Xenopus tropicalis: one gene and its partners. The protein of the gene in region 6 interacts with the protein of the main gene of each other region in a pairwise test. Links are inferred from orthologs where the notes say so. Each region holds a gene or a part of one and is shown on either strand. Other genes may lie near its edges. The genes, in order: dtx3, rnf125, rnf111, traip, marchf3, ube2k and mipol1.

What was found.
Region 1: the proteins of ube2k (region 6) and dtx3 interact in binary tests that used the Homo sapiens proteins (3 or more experiments, as listed by UniProt). The link is inferred for Xenopus tropicalis from reciprocal best matches to the Homo sapiens genes UBE2K and DTX3.
Region 2: the proteins of ube2k (region 6) and rnf125 interact in a two-hybrid assay, tested with the Homo sapiens proteins (2 studies listed by BioGRID and IntAct). The link is inferred for Xenopus tropicalis from reciprocal best matches to the Homo sapiens genes UBE2K and RNF125.
Region 3: the proteins of ube2k (region 6) and rnf111 interact in binary tests that used the Homo sapiens proteins (3 or more experiments, as listed by UniProt). The link is inferred for Xenopus tropicalis from reciprocal best matches to the Homo sapiens genes UBE2K and RNF111.
Region 4: the proteins of ube2k (region 6) and traip interact in binary tests that used the Homo sapiens proteins (3 or more experiments, as listed by UniProt). The link is inferred for Xenopus tropicalis from reciprocal best matches to the Homo sapiens genes UBE2K and TRAIP.
Region 5: the proteins of ube2k (region 6) and marchf3 interact in binary tests that used the Homo sapiens proteins (3 or more experiments, as listed by UniProt). The link is inferred for Xenopus tropicalis from reciprocal best matches to the Homo sapiens genes UBE2K and MARCHF3.
Region 7: the proteins of ube2k (region 6) and mipol1 interact in binary tests that used the Homo sapiens proteins (3 or more experiments, as listed by UniProt). The two-hybrid records come from large-scale screens. The link is inferred for Xenopus tropicalis from reciprocal best matches to the Homo sapiens genes UBE2K and MIPOL1.

The regions. Positions count from the first base shown.
Region 1 is NC_030678.2:140,823,432-140,825,863, reverse strand, and holds part of dtx3 (probable E3 ubiquitin-protein ligase DTX3), read right to left. Parts: intron 335-2,432; coding exon 117-334; intron 1-116. UniProt on the Homo sapiens protein: Regulator of Notch signaling, a signaling pathway involved in cell-cell communications that regulates a broad spectrum of cell-fate determinations.
Region 2 is NC_030682.2:111,864,566-111,868,065, reverse strand, and holds part of rnf125 (E3 ubiquitin-protein ligase RNF125), read right to left. Parts: intron 2,083-3,500; coding exon 1,929-2,082; intron 1,762-1,928; coding exon 1,667-1,761; intron 1,152-1,666; coding exon 1,052-1,151; intron 824-1,051; coding exon 719-823; intron 1-718. UniProt on the Homo sapiens protein: E3 ubiquitin-protein ligase that mediates ubiquitination and subsequent proteasomal degradation of target proteins, such as RIGI, MAVS/IPS1, IFIH1/MDA5, JAK1 and p53/TP53.
Region 3 is NC_030679.2:99,170,622-99,174,894, reverse strand, and holds the start of rnf111 (E3 ubiquitin-protein ligase arkadia), read right to left. Parts: upstream 2,801-4,273; 5' UTR 2,638-2,800; exon of another isoform or gene 2,556-2,637; intron 1-2,555. UniProt on the Homo sapiens protein: E3 ubiquitin-protein ligase. Required for mesoderm patterning during embryonic development. Acts as an enhancer of the transcriptional responses of the SMAD2/SMAD3 effectors, which are activated downstream of BMP.
Region 4 is NC_030680.2:126,179,261-126,183,205, reverse strand, and holds the start of traip (E3 ubiquitin-protein ligase TRAIP), read left to right. Parts: upstream 1-1,145; 5' UTR 1,146-1,174; coding exon 1,175-1,272; intron 1,273-3,127; coding exon 3,128-3,185; intron 3,186-3,945. UniProt on the Homo sapiens protein: E3 ubiquitin ligase required to protect genome stability in response to replication stress.
Region 5 is NC_030677.2:168,227,726-168,231,225, reverse strand, and holds part of marchf3 (E3 ubiquitin-protein ligase MARCH3), read right to left. Parts: intron 946-3,500; coding exon 744-945; intron 1-743. UniProt on the Homo sapiens protein: E3 ubiquitin-protein ligase which may be involved in endosomal trafficking. E3 ubiquitin ligases accept ubiquitin from an E2 ubiquitin-conjugating enzyme in the form of a thioester and then directly transfer the ubiquitin to targeted substrates.
Region 6 is NC_030677.2:36,220,906-36,224,876, reverse strand, and holds the start of ube2k (ubiquitin-conjugating enzyme E2 K), read right to left. Parts: upstream 2,801-3,971; 5' UTR 2,690-2,800; coding exon 2,627-2,689; intron 1-2,626. UniProt on the Homo sapiens protein: Accepts ubiquitin from the E1 complex and catalyzes its covalent attachment to other proteins. In vitro, in the presence or in the absence of BRCA1-BARD1 E3 ubiquitin-protein ligase complex, catalyzes the synthesis of 'Lys-48'-linked polyubiquitin chains.
Region 7 is NC_030684.2:108,842,435-108,846,683, reverse strand, and holds the start of mipol1 (mirror-image polydactyly gene 1 protein), read right to left. Parts: upstream 2,801-4,249; 5' UTR 2,535-2,800; exon of another isoform or gene 2,475-2,534; intron 1-2,474.

The DNA of each region.
Region 1 (2,432 bases), on a different chromosome or scaffold from region 6:
AAAAAAAATGTTTGTTTTTTTTTTTTTTTTTTTTTGCAACAATTTTTTAAAAAATTTGGATCAGTTGCTAACATGACAGGCAGAGGGAATTAGTGATGGATCCAAAGGGTTCTTACAGCTGTGGTCCTCCTGTGCAGTTAGTTTTGTGGTGAATATCATTCCACGTTATGACATTGGGCCTCCCTGTAGTCATTGAAGTCCCAATGGTAAAGGTCAGACGTTGGTCAAAGGCTTTCTTAAATAGCGTTAGAACTTTGTTTCCCTCAGGGCAATCAGGCAAGTAAGCCACACGTGTTGTTCCCGGATACCTTACTCCAGGGTTGGGGTGCTCTGACTGCAGAAAAGAAATGATATATTGGTAAATTCATTCTATGCTGCTCACAGTCCGTCAGACAGAAAAGGGGATCTAATTTTTATATGGAATTATAGATTCCATCATGTGTTAGCATTATTCATTAACAGGACATAAAAAGAACCTATATTACCATATCTCCCGAACAATGTAGGTCTCTATAAAATATATTGCATAAGACAGCTCATATGTAAAACCCTGCTTCATCTAAATAAATCATTTTCATAAAAATATACTTTTTATCAGTATGTCCTATTGGGTAACCCTAAATAGAAAATTGCACCTTTAAGAATTAAGGGCCGCCTCCTGGGATCAAGCCAAGAGCACACATACATGTTTAGTTACATTAGCCAATTAATGGACAAAGATCTACTGGCCAGGGCCTCTCCCACCACTAGGCAAGGTGTTTTTTTTTTTTTGGTTCTGTGCTAGCTTTCTCTATACATTTACAGATAAAATTAACAATAGGGAGGCACAAAATGCTTATTGTGTGTGTGTGTATTTTTTTTTAAGGTACAGGTATGGGATCCGAATTATGGTAAGCCTGTCTCCCATAGACTCCATTTTAATAATTCAGATTTTTAAAATTGATTTCTTTTTTCTATTTAAAAATAAAACAGTGCTTTGTATTTGATCCCAACAATAATTAATCCTTACTGGATGCAAAAAATTCTATTGGGCTTATTTAATGTTTTATTGATTTTTAGTAGACTTAAGGTATGAAGATCCAAATTATGGAAAGAACCCTTATCCGGAATACCCTTGGTCCTGAGCATTCTGGATAATAGGTCCTATACCTGTACTTACTATCAACTTTGTATGTCAAAGTAATCCCCGGTCTGGCCAGTCCCACTTTTTCATCTGATTAATTAAGAATTCTACTACTTTATTATACATTCTGCTTCTGATGTACCCTGCATTGCTAAAAACTTAGACAATGAGTGAGGCGCAGCTCTCTGCGGTCCATTTCAGGAGCACAATAAGGCGAACCACAAGGAAGCGTGCGGTTAAAACATAGCTCTTTGTATAATTTTTTTGCACCTTGCCCCCTCCATTGTCAATGAGCTCTAAAATATGTTTGAACACATGATCAGTAGGTTGCCCACCCAAGTTTGAATTGCCCTGGTCTTTGGCCTCTGGCTGGCTCGTGTAACTCTATGGTTATTCATTGGCATGCAATATTCCATCTTAACTTAATGATTTGCCCTAGAAATCTAAGATGACAACTTACAAAGAAGGCACCAATTCTTAAAAGTGAAATTTTGGAAGCGCCTGAAAGAGAAATGATTACAAACAGCTCCAACAGAGTTATGGTCCCTTAAATGGTGCAATGAACAAACAGACATTTGGTGTGAGTTACTATTCCCAACTAATGAGAATGTTGCAACAAACTGTAAACATCCAGCCAGTAATTCTAGGCAGTGCCTTCATGAATGATTTTATTATGTGAAATTGGAACCAACACAAATTTCTCCTGAATGGTGATACCTACAGCTTGCGCAATTATGCCCATAAACATACGCTAAAGAGAGCACATATGTGTCAGTGTTCATGAGAATGACTGGAAAAGTTTTTTTTAACATCAGCATTCCAGCTAAAAGCAATTTCATGCTTGTGACTTTGTTTTCTGAAGATCTTGTCATTGATATAAATCTTTCTGGTACTGCCTGTGGTTGGGGGAATTCCCAGCTGTAAAGTAAATCAGGCCTAATACATTTTCCAGAACGTATGCTTTGTAAGTGAAGGGCAAGTAGGTAACAAATCTAAAAGAAACCTTCATTTTAAAAAAAAATCAGATGATTGTGGCTGGAATTCTGACACAAGCCTGTATAATTTTTTCTTACGGAATTAAAATGAACATTTTCAGCTTTGCCTCCATTTCATTGTTGAGAAGATTTGATGAATCGTGAAACCTTTAAACAATTACCACACTTATTCAAATCAGAACAGGTGTAGGCTGATAAGCAAAATGACAGTGCCTTTAGATGTTCTAAAACATTTTGCCTTTGTATTCAGCACTGGCCGCTCTCCTTAAAGTAATTTAATGCCTTTTTTGCTGTATATCTACTGTGTGAGTGGA
Region 2 (3,500 bases), on a different chromosome or scaffold from region 6:
CTGCCCTATTGCCACCAAACGATCAGATTATTTATTTTTTTAACATCAAGCTCCCTGATATCGCCCACCCGTAGGTGGGGATATTGAGGGAAGATCCGCTCGCTTGGCGATCTCGCCAAACGAGCGGATCTTACCGTGTATGGGGACCTTAAGATGGCAAGCTCCTGGCTGTAAGTAAAAAGGCAAGGTGGCATGTTACTTTTGACCTGGGCTGGAAAACTTGAGATTCAGTTTACTGTTTCAATGTGTGGCTCCAGGATCAGAATGGGCCAGTGGAACATTAGGAGAAAACCTGGTAGGCCTCAGCCCTTATGGGCCCGTCAGACCTAGGCCCGCTCCCTGCCATGATCTCTACAGGCTCCCCCAAAGGTTTTTCAGCAGCTGCAAGTTGTCAGGATAAGGAGGAAGTACAAGGTACATGGTGCATTGGGTTGGGTGGACATTGCTGGGGTGCAGTGTTTCGTGAAAGGGTAGGGGCTGTGGGTCCTTGAAGTTGGGGCCCTAAACACCCTAGTCCAACATCCATAACATCATATCTAAATAACACTATTGTACATGTTGCATATGTTCTTTTGCTTTTTCTGTTATAAAGTATGATACACTAAACTTCATGTTAACATTAAACATTCCACTTATAGTTCAATATAAAAGGATATCTGCTTGTCTTAAAGCCATTGCCAGTTTTATATTGCAATAAACCAATTAATTGTGCTCTTACTATGTAATTTTCATAGTATATGGAGTGTCTTGCATGAAGATGCCTCAAAAAGCTCATTGTATAACTTGAGTCTCCTCCAGGCATCAGGCGACAAATTGGGCACACCTAAAATTTTACAAAAGTAAATTTATTATAACAGATTGCAACAAATCTTACCTTTCAATGCACAAAATACAGTGGCATGTTCACAAAAATGTAATTAAAAAAAATATTTAAGCTCTTTATAAAAGAGGTCTACATGACTCAATGGTCAAGTAATAGTCAACAAAAAGACATTATTTTACTCAAGCCCCTGTTGTGGGGGAAAGTTAAAAAGAATATGAAGGTACTTACCACCAGTCTGCTTTCTGTGCTGTGGTAGGTAAAGCAGTGTTGCACAAGGCCATCTTCGTCAAATTCCAGGTGGCAAAATGGGCATGCAAACATTTCATCTCTAAAAACAGAAGTGAACAGGGTCTCAGTTATGTAAAGCATGAAACAGTGTCACGGGTTTAATTCCTTTAATTGCACCTGTGTTTCTAGCATCTTTCTATAAAGCATATATTCAATTTAAGCTCTAAATTAACAAATTGTTCTCTGTTTGCCTGCACATGCCGTACCTATGCTATCATGTTAACATATTGTTTACTAGGACCTTAGTCCCAAAGGTCGTTAGGTAGTAATTGGGGATTAATGTATATAAACTATCAACCTGCAATCACTGACAAGGATTCCTTAAGTGAGAATTGAGGGCTAATTCCCAGTGGCAGGTGTGTGTGCATAGGAATGCACCTGTATTTGCACAACTGATCAGATTAAGAACACTGATCCATCCATTGTTTTTTTTCAACAGCCACTTTTTGGTTCACTGCTAACAGCACTCTGTGACATAAATGATTGGCTATGGGTAGCAAATGGGCTGTTGCTGAGTCTGCTGAATGGTATTATTGGGAAGTAAAAATATCAAACCTGCACGTAGTTCTTCCAAGTTCCTCCAGGGGACCATATTTTGTTATGTATTGCTCACACATGTTTAAATGAGCCCTCATATCACTCAGGCACACCTAAAACATAAAAAAATAACAAAACTGAAAATACAAAAAAACATAAACATAAAATATACCAATGATGTGATTTCTAGGTAAAATACTGCATTGGGTGTAAATAACTGCATCCATTAGAGCACTTAGCACACAGCACTTGCTTCTCATATACAAGATATTTTTTGTACCTTCTCCTCACATTCTTCACAATTCTGAAACACAGTCTTCATCTTCTTCATTATATCCACAGCCAGGGTTCCTTCAGATGATAGGTGAGTGCGGCAGTAAGGGCAGGCGTATGTATTATTCCGGAGACTAGCTTTAATGCAAGTTTGGCAAAACCTTAATGAAGAGAATAAAATCAATGAATAATACAATCCGTTTGGGACATGTAGTTCTTAAGCAGCTTGTCAGGGTCAATAACATTTTCTATTCTGCAGCACAAAACTGCTTAATTACTGTTAAAAAAAATGTAGTTTAAAAATACAAAGGAAATAAGATGGTAATTTTTAGTAAGCACATACAGACCAATGGGGTCCGTTATGCAGAAGGAATGTCTTTTAACCATGATTACTTATTCTGCTTAATTGTGGGCACCTTAAAATTGTGTGACACAACTTACACATGTTGTTTGTCAAGCTCAGGTTGCTTTGTTGCTTCGTGGGGCGAATAGGATTTCCAGCACACAAACGCATACAGTGCCGAAAATGGCATTAACATACAATTCTTTAGGTATAAAGCACTTGTGTTCGTAGGTGCAATACATGAAGGGAGACCTGCAAATAACATCTACTCCATGCAGTTTTTAAAGAGCTAATTCATCTTTCGTCTGTTATAGAATGGCCTATTCTTAGCAACTATTCAATTGGTATTCATTTTATAGCTTTTGAACCATTTAGCTGCTTCTTCTGCCTCTTTCTAGCTTTCAAATGAGGGTCACTGACCCCAGCAGCCAAAAAACTTTTGCTCTCTGTGGCAATAATTTTACTGTAACTTTTTATTACTTTTCTTTCCTTTTTTCACCCTCTTCTATTTATCTTTCAGTCCCTCATTCAAACCATTGACTGGTTAGTAGCCAAAATCCACTCCAGGTGCAGACACAGAAGAATGCTGATTCAAGCGTAGTGTGGCATAAGCTGAAGAGTAAATGTATTTGGCTGCACAGATTACAATTTAAATCAAAAGCAATCTGTGATGCCCTGCAAGATGTGTTTATTAGAAGTGCCCCTGAATTTTCAAGTGATTTGTCAATCTTTTTTAAAAGTGAACTAACCCTTTAATTCCAGGGCACACCTGATGTGTACTTTCGTATACTTGTGCTATGCACCTTACTTAGCAAAGCAGAACCAGCTTCTGCTGTGATATGAATCATAAGCACTCATGCAAGTTCCTTTGTGAATAGCATTCACATGGGCAAAGTTCAGGGGCATATTTAGCTCACCACAGAAAAATTCACCTGCTTTCTATTCACTCCTATGGGATTTTTAAAACCGTATTTATCAATGGGTGAAAGCTAGAGTTCACAATTTGATTAAATAAACTTCTTCAAATCCCATAGGAATGAAAAGTGGGTAAACTTTTCTGTGGTGAGCTCCAATCTCGTATATTGATAAATCTGCCCCTTAGTTTTAACTGTTAGTAAATTATCTTGTCCAGTGTATTTCATGTCAAACATTCTAACCTTTAGGTTTAATTACTACTTTAAAAATGTTAAACTATTTATTGTTTGCTTACCCAGGACATTTGCTTTGATGCCTGAA
Region 3 (4,273 bases), on a different chromosome or scaffold from region 6:
GAATAAGGATGGTTAACAGAGTAACACACTAGAATTTAGATACAAAGGATCATAAATGAGGAATTCAGGAGTTGGGAAACTGCTGGTGTCTACAATTCAAAAATACTGTAACAGATATATGCGATTGCTGCCTCTTTCATATAAAAGTAATACGAGTTGAAACAAAGACGTTTAAACCTATGACTAAGTGCCCCATGTAGGCACAAAACTCCCCAGCACTGTTAAAAGGTGTTGAAACTTTTTATGAAATTATTAAGCAGCAATATTTGATTGTGGTCCAGTTTGGTGCCAGTCTATCTTTGTAAAATTTAAACTGGATATCTCCTTAAAGCAGTTCAGTGTAAAAATTAAACTGGGTAAAATAGATAGACTGCGCAAAATAAAAAATGTTTTAAATAAAGTTAGTTAGCCAAAAAATGTAATCTATAAGGGCTGGAGCAGGCAGATGTCCAACATAATGGCCAGATCACTACTTCCTCCTTTACAGCTTTCTAAGCTGTTAGCAGTCAGTAACTTAAGGGGGCGGGGGATGTGGGACATGACTGTTCAGTTAGTTTGCATTTTAATCCGACCTGCATACTCACAAATTAACTGAACAGTTATGTCCCAAGTGCCAAACCCCCCCCCCCCCCCCCTTTCCCTAAAGTCACTGACTAACCAAGAGGTTAGAGAGCTGACATCTGTCCACTCCAGCCTTTATAGATTACATTTTTTGCCTAACTATATTGCAAATATTTTTTATTTTGTGCAGTTTATCCATTTAACCCAGTTGAATTTTTACACTGAACTGTTCCTTTAAGCTGAAGGTCTGGGACAGGGGCACTTTAAGCTATTTAAATGACCACATTCCTCTATTTGTATGAATTATAGAACATTATTCACCTACATGTCAAAGCTTTTGTATAACTGCTTTTTGTCCAATATTTAGACATAGTTGAGGGCCTGGAGAAAAGATCTTAAATGTCACATGTTGCATAGCAATATAAATACTAATATTCTTTTTATAGATTACTAGTAAAGGCAAGACTATTAATTTCCAAACAGATGTATTTCTCTCTGCCTAAAATGAGCCGATGACTGCAAGGTAAGTAAACACTAGGCCAACACATAAGGGCCCATTTATGAAAGCACAAATTTTTATTTTCAGAATTTTTTTTTTTTCTAATTTATAGAACTTTTCATAATGACCACGATAATATCATTAAAACTGCAATACTTTTTCGTTAACTTCCATGAAAAAGTCATATTTTTCGCAAAGACTACGACCATTGCGGAATTCATTCAAGCTTTGGTATAGTGACTATCTTTTGGCCAGGTTGGATCTGTAGAGTGCCATTGAGTCCTATGGAAGGCTTCCAAAATCATGCATTGAAGTTTCAAAGCCAGAAAGGTTTTCGCGCCATTTACGATTGTTTGGATCCAAAAATGTTGTGACTTTCGGATCGCAACCACGATATTTTCTTACGACCGGGAAAAGAAACTGACATTTTCAAACATCAGAAATTATTGTGGTTACTCCACATTTTTTCCAATCGTGCTTTTCACCACCCAAAATTCGTGCTTTAATGAATGGGCCCCTTAGTTTTTCCATGGGCTGGTACATTTTCCACCGAAAAGGAGCAATGGCCTGCATAAAAACTTAGTGATTTAATCAACTCGGGGGGTTCCTAACATTTTGGTACACCTCAGCAAAACAGGCTTTCCTTGTCCTTTAATAAGAACTCGAAACTAACCAGGATATGCAAATGCAAGTATTTCTTTTCAAATATCTGAGAGCTTACTTACAAATACAGTTACTAAACAGCACAAGTGTAGCTGCCAGTAACAACCAAACAGCTTAGAACAGGAACCTATAAGTTACAAAATGAAAGTAATGATACGATTTGTTTTGATATGTAACTGCACTGCCAACTCAACATTTATCATTTTAAATGCCCCTTGATGAATATCCAAAACAAGATCCAAACAAGAAGCACAGGAACAGGAAGTAGCTTAAGTGCAAGAAATTATCCAAAGAACACATTCCCTTTAAGGACAATGACAGATGTGGCATTTTGTCCCCAATGGTTTGCAGCGATGGCAAAATGCCTACAAATTACCTCCGTTTGTGGATAATGAGAATCATTGCAGATATAAAAGTTAAATCACTTAACTGCACAACTAAATTCCTTATCGGTTATTGCCCTTAAAGTTGAAAATGTAATTGTGAGATTGTGTCTCTTCTAACTGGGAACCTATTCCAGATCAATAGCACTCTTCATGTATGATGGTTATTCCCTTAATACGAGCTGCTCATGGAGAGAAATTGTGTTTACATTTTAATCAGGTACAAATACATTTCACCATACAGAACCAAAACAAATGGCCATGAATACAAATACTGTACATAAGTGGCAAGAAGCCTGCGAACACATTCATTAAGATAATAATACTAGTGTCAAGCCTATATTAACCATCCATATATATATAGATATAATACAATCCTGATTATATATAAATAACCAAGGCTTCCAGGAAATGAATGTAAAAGATGCGATGTTGAGCAGTTATCATACCTCCCTCAATACGAAGCGTCTAGCTCGCTAGGCCCGCCCGAGAAGCCCGACTGCAGTAGCGAGCCCGCCCCGCAGCACATACCTGCTTCAGCCTGGACATGAGCACGTTAGTCACTCCGGACTCGTCGAGGTTCCTAATCTTTAGCTCACTTTGGATCAGTCGTAATGGCCAAGGAAGCCATGTTAGGTAGCTACCTTTGGACACTAAGATGCCGCCGAGTCACGTGACGTCGAATGCTTGCGCCGCAAAACCCGGATGGTACAGTCACGTGGGCTGCTAGCGCCTCCCTCCTCAGCGACTCGCTTGTTGTTTACGTGGTGTGGTAGCGCTGATGTGCGCAGGATATTTACCACTAGGAGATGGTGTCAGCTCTCGCTGATATATTTCTAAGAGTATATATATATTTTTCCCAAATGCAACTCTAATTTACTTTTAGGCGTTCCCCTAAAAGTCAGACTTTTAGTTTATGAACCCTTGCATTACATCTTTTAAGCTTGTAAGCCATAGTAAGCTTTACCTCAGGTATGACACTTGTACTGTTGGACCAATAGAACATATCTAGTCCTGGCACTTAAAGGACAACTAAAGCTTAACTTAAGTAGTGCAGAAATGTTGTAAATTATATTTTAAGCTTATGCACCAGCCCAAGACAACTGCAGCCAATTAGTAGGGAATATCAATGCCCCATCTTTTCTGCTGACTCAGGTCACATGCTCTGTGCTTCTGTCACTTCAGGGACCCACCCACAGCATACGGTATATATAAGATATAAATGTAACAGTATAAGGTTGATGAGTAAATAATACAGATTAGTGCAAGGATGTTCTGAAGCCGGTGTAATCTGCATGAGAACAGTAGCATCACCCTCAATGACAGGCAAACATCATTTTCTGCTTGAGAATTTGTGAAGACCCTCTAAGCCAGGGGTGTCAAACTCAATTGCACAGGGGGCCAAAATCCAAAACACACTTTAGGTGACGGGCCGAACAGGATAAACATTTAATGAACACACTAAGGCATACCTCCCAACATTTGAAAAATGAAAAGAGGGACAAAAAGATTTGGCGCGCGCAGCGCGGCAAATTTTTTTGACCACGCCCCCTTTTGTGGTCACGCCCCAATTACCACACCCCATTTTTAAAAAAATACCCCTTTTATATAGATCAAATGGCGGGAGCAGACGCAAATGTGCTATACCCTCATACTGAACGACCTAAGGAAAACAATACAGCAACTCCTACATTAAAATACAAATATAGAGAGAAGGCAGTCAGTTATAAGTGAGTTATAACTAAGTACCAGTTTTTCCCCCCCATACACAGTAGCCCGCCCCATACACAGTAGCCCGCCCCATACACAGTAGCCCCCCCATACACAGTAGCCCGCCCCATACACAGTAGCCCGCCCCATACACAGTAGCCCCCCCATACACAGTAGCCCCCCCATACACAGCAGCCCCCCCATACACAGCAGCCCGCCCATACACAGTAGCCCCCCCATACACAGTAACCCCCATACACAGTAGCCCCATATACACAGCAGCCCCCCCATACAAAGCAGCCCCCCCATACACAGTAGCCCGCCCATACACAGTAACCCCCATACACAGTAGCCCCCCATACACAATAGCCCCCCATACACAGTAGCCCACCCCATACACAGCAGCCCGCCCCATACACAGTAGCCCCCCATACACAGTGCCCCTATACACAGTAGC
Region 4 (3,945 bases), on a different chromosome or scaffold from region 6:
CAGATTTTGCGCAACATTCGGAATGGCAACGAAAAAGTCGCGATAATTTTCCGAAAAATCGCCAAATACCGATCATTACGAAAAAAACGCAATCGGATGCATTCGGCCCGTTTGTGAGTAAGTAAATGTGCCCCCAAATGTCTTTAGAGGTAAATAGGTAAGGTTTATTAGACACGTACACGGGCTCTGAGCAAAAGTTAGTCAGTACTACATAAAAAAGACAGCACAGGGTTTATATAGACTTTGTGACAGTAACATATGTCATAAGAAATGTATGAGCATAGGCGTTACCAGTGTACACGCATAGAAATATCTGAAAACAAGGTCTTTGCCAAATAGGTGGGTCTGTCTTCAAGGCTATAGTTGACGTAACTAAGGCTAGCTAGAGAACAGAATCCGCCCAATTTTTTTTACCAGCCAGGCGGCAATATCTGGTACCGCTAGGTTTCAATAAGAGACTGTATTGATCATTAAGAACGAGTGTCTCTCAGTATCGCCTCAGCGATGAAGAACGCAACAGCTGCATATTACAGGGATGCTATTAAACAGCTTAAGTATTGAACACAGATTTTGTTCAATTCTTTTAATTTCACCAAACTATACCGCCAGTTTCTAATAAAAAGACACAATGGGGTATATTTATCATGCTGTGTAAAAAGTGGAGTGAAGCATTATGGGTGATATTGCCCAGGGCAACCAATCAACTATTAGATTTCAACCAAAAAATCAAAGCGAAGCATCTAATTGGCTGCTATAAACAACATTACCAGTGATGTTTTACTCCACTTTTCACACTGCATGATATAAATATATATAAATACAGTGTCAAATGAACACATCCCAGAACACATGGCTTAATATACACAGCGCCAGCTTCAACTATAACGCCCTAAGAACATATAAAAGGCATATACGCCATCACGTAATAACATAATAGAAGTTTTGCGTAAAAGCAATTGTAGTAAGTAACCCGTATTTCCAGAGAGCGCAGTGACGGGGTTAAATGTACGTCATTTCCGCGGGTTTAGCCCTTGACCAATGAGAGGAGACGCAGGTAGCGTACGTGACGTTGCTCTTGCAGCGGCAAAAACAAACGTTGTTGTGGCTGTTGTTCCGTCACGGTGTCCTCGGTTGGGGGAATGTTGTTGTGACTGAGTCCAAGGCGGAGGCAGCCATGCCCATACGTGCCTACTGTACAATTTGCTCGGATTTCTTTGATAATTCGCGGGATGTGGCCGCGGTTACGTGTGGGCACACGTTCCATCAGGAGTGGTGAGAGATTCGTTCTGTTGCGTAACAGCACGGCATTGCCATGGAAACAGCGGGAAAGTCTGGCATTATACATGTCATAGAGCTGTATATATCCCCCAGCATAGGCTGGATTAAGGGGGGAGGGGGCTGCATTGTCAGAGCAATATAAGGAGATAAGTTTTGCTATAGCTGTCAGCTGCTGTGTCCTTGACATAACAACAACCCACATGGAATGGGGAGCAGACTGGCTCATCTCTTGCATCTAACAGCTGTGCAGCCTTTGCCCACTCCATAGCTGTTTGTCACCTCTTATTGCTGTTTTGCATGTATTAGGGTGGCCACACACGTGGCGATCTGACGATGTTTCACACGAAAACATTGTCAGATCCGCCACACACCGTCAGGGCTGAAACAGCAGATAAGGAGATAGAAACAATAGGACTTCTACCTCCTTCTGCCGATTCAGCCCTGACGGCAGATTTTGGTCAGGTGCCTTCTATGGCGACCGATCAAAATCTTTTAACCTGGCCGATCGGCGAGTCGTCCGATATCAGCAGCTTCCTGCGATATGGGTCGACTCGCCGACTTGCCATACACGCACCGAATATCGTACGAAACGAGGTTTCGTACAATAGTATCGGTGCGTGTATGGCCAGCTTTAGGCTGACATTAACATTAGTATGTCTCTTCCAGCTTTCAAATGGGGCCACTGACCCAGCAGCCAAAAACTATTGTTCTTTGAAGTTGCAGGGTTATTTTGTACTTTTTAATACTTATCTTTTTGTTCAGGCCTTCTCCTATTAATATGTGTCTCTCATTCACACCCCTGCCTGGTTATGAATATAAATGGAAGCCTAGCAACCAGACAAGCAGCAGAAATTACAAACTGGAAAGCCACTGAACAAAAATGTATGTCCAATGTATGAAACCCACTTATTCAACAGCGCTGTGGAATGTGTTGGTGCTTTTTAAATAAATGTTAATAAATACTAAAAGCTAATTTAACGACAAACTTTTCCATTAATGACATATCTTATGATACTATGCATTTGCTGCATTCTTAGATTCTAATCAGAGGTCTTTTCAAAGGCAAACGCAGGGGCAGTCTGATGTTTCTGTTAGTTCAGAAAGCTTTGTCAGGAAGACCCTAAGCACTGGCACTAAACCTCTTTAGGAAATGCTTTATGGGCACAGGAACAGATGCCTACACTACACTGTACTCTGGTACTGCTTTGCTGAGCATGGGATACCAGCTAGTTCCAAAACACAGCAACCATTTGTTACCACTAAAGAATAGTAGTGACCCCTTCAGATTAAATTGCAGCAACTTGGCCCTTTCTGCAAGATGTGTCACATTTATTAACTGACTTCTAGCTTGTAATCATATCTGAGCCCAGCTGTTCCTACTCTTTAATGTAGAACTTAAGCCTGTATAACACACTGTTCCCCTCATGGCACCACTGGGGACCCCTTTTAAGCTTACATGTTTGCTATACTTTGTTCTTAAAAAATCTGAGTTGCGCAATGGGGTTGCCAGGATCTCTTCAGGTCCTCCTTTTAGTTATCTTCTGACAGGAGCATGTGCAGTTGAAGCTAATGCAGACCTGGCTTCAATTGCACATTCTTGGTTTCAGCATTCATATAAAAGAGGAGCAGCATGAGATGATGTCTGCCAACACCAGAGCACTACTCTACCTCAAAAAAGGTACAGCAAATGCAGAAGTGGAGGTTGGGGGCAGTGGTGTTTTAAGGAGGGGGGGACAAGGTATATTCCAGTAGACTGGAATCTGTTACAAGCTAGAAGTCAGTCAATAAAATTATAGTTAATGCCCCCTGACATTGTTTTGGCCTAACAAATCTCTTTTGCATTACTTAGCTTGCTCCAGTGGTTTCACTCGGCTCCACATCGTACCTGTCCACAGTGTCGAATCCAGGTAAATTTAAAAAAAACTTTTATCTTGATTTTATTGCAAAATGTCACACTCTTAGGGAACACACTGTATTTGGGTATTTATGGGAATTCTAATTTGTATTCTTGGATATTTTAAGAGCCATAGCAGGGTAGTGAATTGTCTGAAGCTGTTCGGGAACTAACCAACAAAGGGGGCTGGAGCCCAATAACAAAACATAAACATAAGCAGTAGATGGTGAGGGTACCTCGCCAAAAAGTTTACAGTTTATTGATCTGAATTGCACAATATTAAAAATATAAATCACTAGCAGTCCAGAGACATCTCATCTACTCTGACTGTAGGGAAGATTTTCTAGGTTGAATGGCTGAAAATCCTACCAAAGCTTGCAAATTAAAGCATCCTATCTCCCAAGATAAAACATAATTATGAATGCCAGGTATCTTCTGAGCAGTGTGATGCCCAGTATGCATAGGATCATCTAAGTATGTGGCATGTAAAGGTCCCAAAATGAAAACATAGGGATTTGGCATTTACTGCATTTTATGTTTCAGAAACATTTTGCAAAAAAACTAAGTTCACTCCAGAGAACTAATATATATATATATAATATATATATTTTTAAGTACACATTCTGACAAGTGCAGAATTGGTTAATATGAATTTCTGTTCAGCTTCAGTGCTTTACATATCCTTACATGCAAAGATAAAATGTCCTAAATATGGTTACCAATGTGTGTGGCATATGTAGTGACCCCAAAATTAACATGTAGTGCATACATAT
Region 5 (3,500 bases), about 130 Mb from region 6:
CTGGGGCATCTTTGCAGGCACAACTCTTCCCTGATAAAGGGCTGCGGTTGCTTTTGGCTGGTTCAAAACCACAACTATAATTGGGGTAAGGTATTTTCTGTAGCATTTCTAGCCCACTTCATTTTTAAAATTTAGTTATCCTTTAAGCAGTGAGTGAGGATGGCATCACGCATTTTCCTGTAGGGTTCAAATGAACTGTAGAATGATACTTCTGTCTCAATACAAAAGACTCTACTTTTTGCTTTCTCTAGCACAAAGTGAGTGGGTGCATTTTTTGGATGATACTTTGGGAAATCCCAGGTCACTGTAACAGCAAGTCATGCGTAGCCCTTCCCTAATGTGAGCAGTTCAACATTTTCCATGGAAATAAAACCGCATGGCATTCTTCTACAGCATTTTGATTTCCTCAGTGATCCATCAGAAAGCATGCTACAGGCACGCCCAGCAGATTATTATAATGGTGTTCTTTTATTTTGCATCTGTACAGCACTTTCAGCACTTTAAGCCGAAAATCAGCATATCAATAAGATTATCATTATCACTGAAAAGTGGTATTAGAGGATGAGCAGCTGCTGTGGTATCTGAAGTTTTTTTTAAAAGAAAGCAGTAATTTATAGGAAATGATGTGTATTTCATATATTTACTAGCAGGTAAATGGTGTGCCTAATAAGAATATTCTAATATATCAAAATAAAGAGAATTCATTAGTAAATGGACATTCCCGCTGCTGGGCATTTACTGACCTCTACTAAGGGCCGAGGTTTGCGCTCCACAGAAAACCTGAAGTGACAGAGTTCACAGTAGCTGGTGTTAGAGGAGGAAAGCCAGTGCTCCAGGCAGCTTCGGTGTATTGTTCCTAACGTTCCAGTGCATTCACATGGAGAAAGGAGATCCTCTTGGGTACTTCCTTCATGGCAAATCCTGCACATTGGGCGGTCATTGAAGCTGCTGTGAAAGAAGCAAATTTGTTATTGAAAATGATCCTTCTGAGGTAGTTCTACAATGATAGCTGTGGAGAGAGAAATTATGGCTGAAAATTAGATTTGTGATTTGCTCTGCAGATGAAAATATAGAAATGGCAGCAAGAAAAGCGCTGTTCTATTTCTGGCTTGGCATTTCCAAATAATTCACTTGCTATTCCAGGTGATCCCCTGAGCACACAAACTAGATGCAAGCGTGACTTGGACCCCTAATAGCAGCAACTTTGTTCCCAGTGGGCCTAACATTGCCCGACACTAACAAAATACTGTATAGGGTCACAGAACCCATCAATAAGAATGCTTTTTTTACTTTATTGTATTTGTAAAATTACAATCACAGTATTCTTTTTAATTTTAAAAAATACAAATACATTAAAGCATCTTTAGAATATGCTGTAGGCCAATCTAATCCAAATAATCCAAAACCCTTTTCTAAGTCAGAAAATAATTTTTAATTTCTCTTTTTCTCTCTCTTGTGCCTTTTAAAGGAAGGCCCTGCATCTCACACCAATATATTGAAGTAAATAAATGTATAAAGTACATCTTATTAAGCTTGGGGCAGTCAGCCAAATCACTAGTCATTTTGGATAGACACTTGACAGTCGGCCAGGTAGGTGGTGCATAAGTCCATTCTGCCAGTGATCCTTGTTCTTATGTTGCCCCCAGATTTGAGCTAGGACAAGACACCTGGATAAGCTTCAGTAAGCATAAAAGAATGGGGAACATAACAGCAAGCACATTTCTGAAGCCCACAAATGCAGACAGCAAACTAACTACAACACAATGTCGCAAGAAAAAAATGCAAAAAAGTCTTCTACATATACATGACAAGACAAGCTTCCAATAGGAGTTCTCAGTGCTTTCAGTACACATACCTCACAAAGTGTTCCTGAGATGCCACAACAAGAGGCTCCAGTGTCTATTACCAAGCTGCAGCAGTATAGAAGGCTCATTTAAACACAGGGCATGGTTCAATAACAGGATGAGAACTGTGTCCTTAAAAGTAGAATTTAGGAAGGTACTTTCCCCTATATGCACAATGTATACATGGCAAAAGGTGCAGCATGTTCTGGCTTACTTTGTACCTGCCTCGAGCAGACACTCAGTGCAGAGTACTGGGCTCCCTATACGCATTGTGCTCCACATGGGCAAAGTCCATTATTGACTCCACACACACTCTGGAAATTAGATATACATGTATGCGATCTGTTATCCAGAGGGCTCCGAATTACAGGTCATCTCATCTCCCATAGACCCTTTTTTAACCAAACAGTTCAAAATTTTAAAACTATTTTCCTTTTTCTATGTAACAATAAAACAGTACCTTGTACTTGATCCCAACTAAGATATAATTAATCTTTATTGGAGCTAAATAATCCTATTGGGTTTATCTAAAGTTTATCTTATTCTTTAGTAGACAAAGTATGAAGATCAAAATTATGGAAAGACCCATTATCTGGAAAACCCCACGTCCCGAGCATTCTGGATTACAGATCCATACATGGTATTAGGTTGGGTCATGTTTCCTGCAAATAAACTATTTTCTTAATGCAGACACCCAAGCTATCTACAGATAATGCAGAAGAAGTGATTAGACATAGGTGAATTTTCATTGTACTACTGGCTCTTTCATGCTATGGGCCCTTTATACAGCACTGTCTTTTGTGAGATATGGAATTTATAGTTAGTTAGTTAATTAGTTAAAATAGTTTTAAACTACACCAGCGAGATTGATGCTTCTTCTAAAATCCTATGCCAACAGTTTAAAAGAAGATATTCTGTTGTCTGAGAGAACATGCAGGCCTTTATGCTCCAGCTCTGAATGCATGTCAAAAAGCATTACAGGCTTTAGCAGCATCTATGTATGCGGCAGGCTGGGAGATTTTAAGCTTAATAAAAAGAAAAGATCTAGGCTGTCTCATTTTTAAAATGGCATTTCTTTATATAGCCATGGAAATATGATTAGGTGCAGTGCATTGCTAACTGAGAGATTAGTAAGGCTCTTTAAATATGAACAAAGCTACAGTTTGCATTAGGTTTCTGTATGCAATAAGATGATGTACCATTTTGTACTGTGCCTAATGCTGTCAGATCAGTCAGTGCTCTGTTCCTATTCTATTACAGCACACATCTACTAGATGCTAAGCAGGAATGTTGGGTAGCTCCGTGTATTTATGGGAGTAAGCACTGAGGCATGTCTGGAACTGATCATCTAAGTTCTCAGGGAAAAGGTGGATAAGCCTGGCATTTATTTAGGAACTTGTGTGCCTTGGCTTGTGGCTGTAGGGATCTACATTTATCCTGCAGGAATAAAGCAGCCATAGGGCAGCTCAAAAGCACAGACATATGGAATCCCCTAAAGAGAATATGATGAGTGATTGGAAAAGACTATTCATTTTAATCCAAACATAAAAATATAGCATGGAGACTATTCATTTTAATCCAAACATAAAAATATAGCATAGCAGTTAGTGCTATGATGATAACCAGCATTAATAAATGCATGCTGGGAAAAATAGT
Region 6 (3,971 bases):
AAAATTACTTTAGAGTGTTATTCCCCTTTTAATAATTTACCAAATTCCAATAAATACACCAACAATAAAGAAAATGAAAATAAAATAAGGGGATATATTTTTCTACTAAGAAGTCAAGACAGCTTTTGTGGCTGCTTGTAGCCATAGCTGGACTTATCTATTTGCACAACTTGAGCAGACCCTCGTCAAAAAAAAAAGCAATGTGTATTACTAAATATCACTTAGTATCACTGAGATATTATGTGCATTCTAATCCAACTAGCTGCACCAGGTTCAGCCTAATAAAAGGTTCAGAATTTAAGGTGTCCATACATAGGGCAAATACTGGCTGCGATTCTTGATTGAGTCAGCAGGCTACTGACCCATCTGGCAGATCAAATACATTAGCCCTATGTCCAGGGCTAGGAGCTTCTGCTGCTCATGGAGAAAGTAAAATTGCAGAAATGACCACTAAAAACCTCTGGTGAACACTGCAGCTTAAGCTAAGTGAAGACAAACGGGGTGTAGTGCTGCATGTTATGATACTTTCTAAAAATCTTTTGTGGCCCTTGCTTAACCTAAAATAAATGGAGGACAAAGAAGAAATAAGCAATTACTTTATAACATTAGAAAATGTGTATTTCTTAATATGGTGAGCGATATTACTAATCCTAATTTGTAACTGCAACAATTTTTAGATGCAGCTTCTCAATGAATGGGCAGCACGCTGTCTCAAATGAAAGTTTCTCCATAAAGTGGCAGGAGGATATGCGGCAATGCCAGCCTTTGATCTAGCGCACACGAGAAAGTTACAGTTAACAAATTTGCACTCCACTGTTTCACAGAGTTACCCAGTGATTATGACCAGAAGCCACATATTTACCAAAGATTGAATCTAGAAGTCATCATAGTCTGCAAGAGTGAAATTCTGCTACTCTTTATACATTAATATGAAACTTTAGAGGGTATATTTATCAATACATATAAATGAGTTTACACTTTGATAAATATGTTTTCACTAATTGAATAGAAATTAATATAATGAGGGAAATTTCACTGTGGCTGACTATGGCAAGCTGTAGTTTAATACTTTGATAAATATCCCCCTTTGATTTCATTTCTGAAGTTTCACTGAATGGATTTCAAGGGCCATTAATAAGGAGAGAAAAAGTTGGAAGGGAGAGCCAGAGGGAACTGCAGTCTTTTCTACACAACTGTCCTACTTTTCCATGTCTCTAATACAATCCTTTAGTACCTTCTACATGACTCTAAACACTTCTGCAGCCCCACTCTATGGCAGTCTCTAATAAACTCCTGTCAAATCGTTCCAAGGCAGTCCCTAATACACTCCCATAAAAAAAACTCCATGGCAGCCCGTGATACACTCATGTCAAACCTATCCCTATCAATCTCTAACATACTTTTGTAGTAGTGATGAGCGGGTTGACCCACAACCTGCATTTTACCCTTAGGTCAGGCAGGTTAGGGTTGGGGGGTGTTGTGGGTTCAGGTTGGGTGTGGGTCAGACTAGGGAAGCACCTCTGCTCCTGAACTTTCCCTTCCTTGGAACCTAAGGCGAGAGCAGCAAACAATGTAGAAAGACGCAAGTACGTGTTTTAAATGCAAATCCTATATCGGCAACAATTTGTGGGATACGGTCAGTTGCAGGTTGACTTTTTCCTGACCCCCACACCACTATCTTGTAGTCTCTTCTGCAGTCCCTTTCCATGGCAGTCTCTACACAATCCTGTAGTCTCTTGATGGCAGTTTCCAATTCACTCCTATAGTACCTTTCCACGGCAGTCTCTAATACACTTCTGTAATTCTCCTCCAAAGCAGTCTCTAATACACTTCTGCAGTCCCTCTCCAAGGCAGTCCCTAATACACTTCTGCAGTCCGTCTCCAAGGCAGTCCCTAATACACTTCTGCAGTCCGTCTCCAAGGCAGTCCCTAATACACTTCTGCAGTCCCTCTCCAAGGCAGTCCCTAATACACTTCTGCAGTCCCTCTCCAAGGCAGTCCCTAATACACTTCTGCAGTCCCTCTCCAAGGCAGTCCCTAATACACTTCTGCAGTCCCTCTCCAAGGCAGTCCCTAATACACTTCTGCAGTCCGTCTCCAAGGCAGTCTCTAATACACTTCTGCAGTCCCTCTCCAAGGCAGTCCCTAATACACTTCTGCAGTCCGTCTCCAAGGCAGTCTCTAATACACTTCTGCAGTCCCTCTCCAAGGCAGTCTCTAATACACTTCTGCAGTCCCTCTCCAAGGCAGTCCCTAATACACTTCTGCAGTCCGTCTCCAAGGCAGTCTCTAATACACTTCTGCAGTCCCTCTCCAAGGCAGTCTCTAATACACTTCTGCAGTCCCTCTCCAAGGCAGTCTCTAATACACTTCTGCAGTCCCTCTCCAAGGCAGTCTCTAATACACTTCTGCAGTCCCTCTCCAAGGCAGTCTCTAATACAGTCAAGTAGTCCCTCTCCCTATCAGTCTCTAATACACTCCAATAGTCCCTCCCCATGGCATGCCTGGCTGTGGCAGCCTTCTATACTACCTCTTTAGAGCAGTTTACTGGATTTATCTTAAGCACACTGTCACCAATTGTTGCCCCTCATTGTATATAGCCAGACGCACTTCTGTCTCCTCTCACCTCTTCGCTTTTGAGCACCTCCTTGAACTCCCTTTTGATCCTCTGTGCTGCGATGTTCGCCATAATTGCCCCAGTTTCCGTACTTGACTGAGTCACCTTAAATTGCTGCAGTGCACGTTAAGTACGCCAGGCTTCCTCCCTCCGTGCAGTGCCGGCCCTGTGTGCTCTGCCTCCCCCGCCCCGCACAACGAAACCTAGCACAACAGTACACTGCAAAATGGCGAACCTGACACATGCGCAATACAAGAGTCTGGGCGGCCCACAGGAAGAACTTCCTGACAGGGTCCCTGCTCACGTCACTTTGGCCCGCCCCACAAATGAGACGTAACAGCGCGCCACAGAATCCCCGGGCTCCATTCATGCAGGGCTCAGTCACGTGATGTGTCACTGGACCCCAGCGCTAAACAGAAGAGTCGTGCAGTGTTGTAAAGTTTGGCTTTAGCAGCAGATTTCTATGAAACCAAAGGTCGTAGCCTGCCAGAGCTATGCAATTCTTATTAGAGGATGGGCTGACTACCTGCCCCTAGTAAGCATTTGTCTCAGCAAAATAGATATGCCACAACATGCATTAGTCACCTGACTCGTATTGGAAATCCAGAAGTTCCTGCTTAGTCTGCTGTATGGGAACTTTTTGTTCTCTTCCTTTTCAAAAGTCCTATGACTGGTCATGACCTACATCTGTTATCTAGAAAAAAAATAAAGCAGGGGCATAACTACAAAGGAGGCAGACCATGTGGTTGCAGGGGGGCCCTGGAGTGTAGAGGGCCCAGTAAGGGCCATGACACATAGGGAGATTAGTTGCACCACAACAAATGCCATCCCGTGGCATACACGGCACTGCGATATGCCGAAGTCACCGACATTTCCTCTCAAGGCGACTTTGGCAAATGGCGGCGCTGCGTATGCCATCCTACCGCTGATTTACATTGTAGCCGGTGGGATGGCATTGCGGGGAGATTAGTCGCCCGCAACAACAGAGATTTGTCATGGCAGCTCTAATCTCCCTGTATGTCACGGCCCTGAATAGTGAGCAGTTTTACTATATCTTGATAGGATAGGTCAATTTACCAACGATTTGGGCCCCTAAATTGAATTCTTTTGGGACAAGTGACATCTATTCATGCCACTGGTTGTGTGCATTTTCCTAAGCAGAGATGCTATCTGGATAATATAGCAAAGGCCAGCCAGTTAAATGATACATGCCACTACAGTTATTAAAGGACAAGGAAAGGCTAATACCTTGGGTGGTGCCAGTTACTTAAAATAAATGCACCACCAGAGATACCTTGTGCCTCGATTTGAATTCTATATCTGTATATCCATAGTTCAGTTAATTTTCTGGCTT
Region 7 (4,249 bases), on a different chromosome or scaffold from region 6:
CATAAGAGACTATTGCTTTGTTTCTTACATAAATACACAAAGTTTTTATTATTCTCAGGCCAAAAATGTTAGTTTTTAAAGTGGGTTGTGCCCTTGTAGACTGTGACAATGGCTTAGATCAGTGCTGTCCAACACATTACAAATAGTGGGCCAGTTATATCTCATACAACATTTTGGAGGGCCAGATGAATTAAAATGAAGATGTCATACAGTGAAGTCTATGGAGCAGAGTAGGGACCATAAAAATTCCTTAAAGGGCCACATCTGTCCCACAGGCCTATAGGTGGACAGCCTTGGCTTAGATGACTTCCACCTTTCGGCACATCACAGGAGCTTATGCATTAATTAGTTATACTTGACCACATTTATATCTCCATGGGTTTATTACAATGGCAAACTTTTGGCTTGATAAATCACAAATCTGCCCCTAAATGTTTGCTCAGCCTGCCCAAAATGCACAACAGGAGATCTGTTCCACTGCTTATGAGATCAGCCACATATAAAAACCTTCTAGATATGTGTTAGAGGCTACTACTGCTCTTGTATAACTCGTACACTAAACGTACATTGATACCTTGCCATTAGATCTTAAAATACAAATCCACATTTGCTTTTAAACCATGGTATGAAAGTAGACCAGTGTTGCAAGATCCACCTATCCATCTGGCTATGCCTTAAGAAGGGGTATGTACCAAGGGGATCGAATTCAGGTTCTTTTTTAACCATCCTATTTTTTTCTTTGCTTCTCTGTATTCTTCCCTTTTTCTTCTCTAATTCCTTTTCTAATCTTGCATCCCCCTTTGCCTGCTCAAGTGTAGATTTCTAATGGTACATTATTAACTTGCAGTTTTTCCCATGGTGTAATGTACTAGATTTACACTGTTAGGTGTCTCTATTCGCTTATTGCATGGACTGTGTTTGTTCCTTATTGTACCTGAAATAAAAAGAAATTTAAAAAAGAAGAAAAAAAGGTTTCAGAACTAGATTTCCCCCCAACCCTTTACTATCAACTGCACACAGGGGATGACTATCTGCCAGATCCATAGAAGGGTGGGCCTGTGTAGTTCAAAGTTAGTTAAAGCATCTGTTATGCAATTGTTTCCTTTTGGGTACATTCATTTTAAAGTGTTTGTATCCCTGGCAGCAAATGAGCACTCACCGGTGTGCAAACAGTTATTGGTGCATTGGTGCAAGTGGTATACTAGAAGTTACTGCTTGATCATTTTACGACCCCTTTCCTAAACTTTCAATGTAAAACATTTTTCACCAGTCGAACAGTCTTCTTACTCTATAATTACACCCCTGGTCAGCACCCACGTGCTGGGCCAAATCAGATCTCAGTCTGCAGTTGGCCACAAAAAATTATCCCATTTTTACTGTTATCTACAGCAGTCAGAATAGGGAATAGTCTCCTCACTGATTGTCATCTAATTTAATTTAGGATCTGGGAATGTTGATACCTGCTTAAACCAATCATATAAAAGTGGTGACAAAAGTGATGTGATTAAAAAGATATAGCAGATGGCACACTTGAACATAAAGTATGTGAGATATGCCTATGGATGCCTTTTCCCTGGTTTGCCTGATCTGATGGTCATTATTACTTCATAAAACATATTCAATATACAGTGCATGTCTTTAGATAAAAATCATGAGGGAAACACTGACACCTATTGGTGGCCTACAGAAATACAGTTTGTAGGTAAATAATATGATTGAATTTGAATTGTATAAATGTAATTCAATGAAACATGTTTAGAACAGGGGAAAAGTCACGCTATAACTAATGATATAGACTTATATTATCATTTCATGTGGATGTGAATGTGGTGTTGCAAGCTGCATGGTATGTATGTATGTATATCTTTATTTATAAAGTGCTACTTATGTACGCAGCGCTGTACAGTAGAATACATTAATACAAACAGGGGGTTAATAAGATAATAGATAAATACAAAGTATAAAAATAAATACAAATAAATACAAGATACAGTTACAGTTGCAATAAGTTAAGAGTCGAGGACACAAGAGGATGGAGGTCCCTGCCCCGTAGAGCTTACAATCTATATATGCATGGTGCAGGTAAGCAGCTCAGACAGTAGAAGTATCAGCAGCACATCTCAGTGGATTTGCAGCCACTTCCAGCACACACTGAGCGGCATTTTAACTTTAGCTGCAAACCAGTTTTGAAGAACAAGTGAACAGATACCAAGGTTATGTATTAGAAGCTTTAGGTTTGCAACAGGTCTAGTCACCTACAGCAACCATGCAGCAGGTAACATTTAATGGTCACCTGTTTAAAAGCAAACATATGATTGGCTGCTATAGGTTCCTGCACCAGGGCAAACTTTGTGCCTTTTAAGGGGAGCAGTATCCTCCACCCAGGACTGGCTTCTGTTAGCTCACCTCACCGCACGGTTATCCATTCCCTATAAAAACAAATAAAAACCCTTTCCCACTGCCCATACATTTACCGTTCCCCGCAGTGCTCAGGTCTCCGCAAATATATGCTTAGACAAAAAAGCAGCACTCACCTAAATGATGCACCAATCCACTCTTCCAAACCGGAAAACAAGAAGCAGGAAGTCGAAGCAAAACCAGAGTGGAACGCAAGAAACCTTTCTGTGTGATAGAATGCTGCCTACGGATCAAAGAGGCAACTTGCACTTTAGCGAAATAAAATAAGAGATAAGCACAAATCGACTGCGGAGTAACACATCAGATACATGTAAATCACAAACGTGATATACTTTGGTCTTTACGTCTTCCGCTTTTCTCAATAAAGTTTTTTTTTTAATTCCACTAAGTTGTCGTTTCCGCATTTGCTCACTAGATGGCGCTTTGATAGCAGAGAGGCTTTTCTTTGCGTTCAAGCGTGGTTTCCCTCTAATTTCCTGCTTGTTCCTGCTTCCCTCTAATTTCCTACTTGTATTCCGGTGTGGCTGCATGGGCACAGGGTGGGCGGGGGATGCTTGTGCCTAGCTCCCACTGGGTTTAAAGACGGCGTACCTGTGAGTGCTATTTACTCTATTTCTGTATGTAGCTCAGTAACAATCAGAGAGAAACAGCTTATGGGTAATAATATATGTATTTCTCATTAACTCTATATATCTCCAGTATGACTAATCTAATAACGAAAGCTGATAGCCACCCCATAATTAGCTGAGCCACATTGATATTTATATACGTTTTAATTAATAGACATGTTTTGTGATATTATCATGGCATCTTCATGCAGGCCAGGGTGCTGCCCATCAGGGGATGATGGGAGTTATAATGAAGCTGGAAAGCCACACAGGAGTACTGTTTTATTAGCACGTCTTGTTGAGAATAATTCAAGATAACACAAGCCATTATAATTAGGAGCATAACTTCAATCTCCTGGGGCCCTGCAGAAAAATGTTTGGGGTGCCCCCCTCCCCCATTGCTATGACACTATCCTTTCTGCACCCATGAACTAATGGATTTGACAGCATGGTTGGATGGTGCCAGGGGATGTAGATCTTTTCTGGGACCCTTGGTTGCAGAGTTTGCTGGTAACTTACTAGTCACTGCTTATAAGCCGCTAGCTACCCAGACACACAAAGCAAATGTTGGGACCCATAGGGTTAAATGGTCCCCATGGCTTTAAATCCCTACAGGTTTAGTTCCCTTAGTTGCTGGGCAGAAGGGAATGTATCTAAGTGAGTTCATTAATATGTGTGCTATTGGTTAGAAGGTATAGTGACCACATCCTGCGTGACTTTGGTATAGTGTTGGGAGAGGAGTGGCACCTTCCTGTTGTTTGCTTCCACCTTAGGGACAAGGTGGATGTGTGCTGAGAGCCCAGGGCATGGGCCCAGGCCCAGTAATGTCGGGGGAACAGGACCTCGTGAATGAGGCATTAGATAGTGGCAGGTGTAGCTCCCTTTATAGTACACTCTAGGAGTGTAAGGCAGTTAGGGTTGAGCTAGAATGAGCAGCATTGAGCTCCTGCATAGGATTTGCAGTTTTTCTGGAGATATTTCTCCCAGGCCACATTGCCTGTAGTGTAGGGATCCAAGTGAATAGGGAATCAGGATAGAGAATTCCCTGAGGGATCCACTACAGGGTGTGTCGCAGAGGTGAAGGGAGATTCCTGCCAGTCTGCCCGCAGGAGAGTGTGAGTCTGAATATACACTCGGTATGTGTTGCATGTACCAATGGCCTCTGAAGCTGTATTGTGAGTAAACCCTGTGGATGTTCAATAAACACTTATTACTTTGTTATT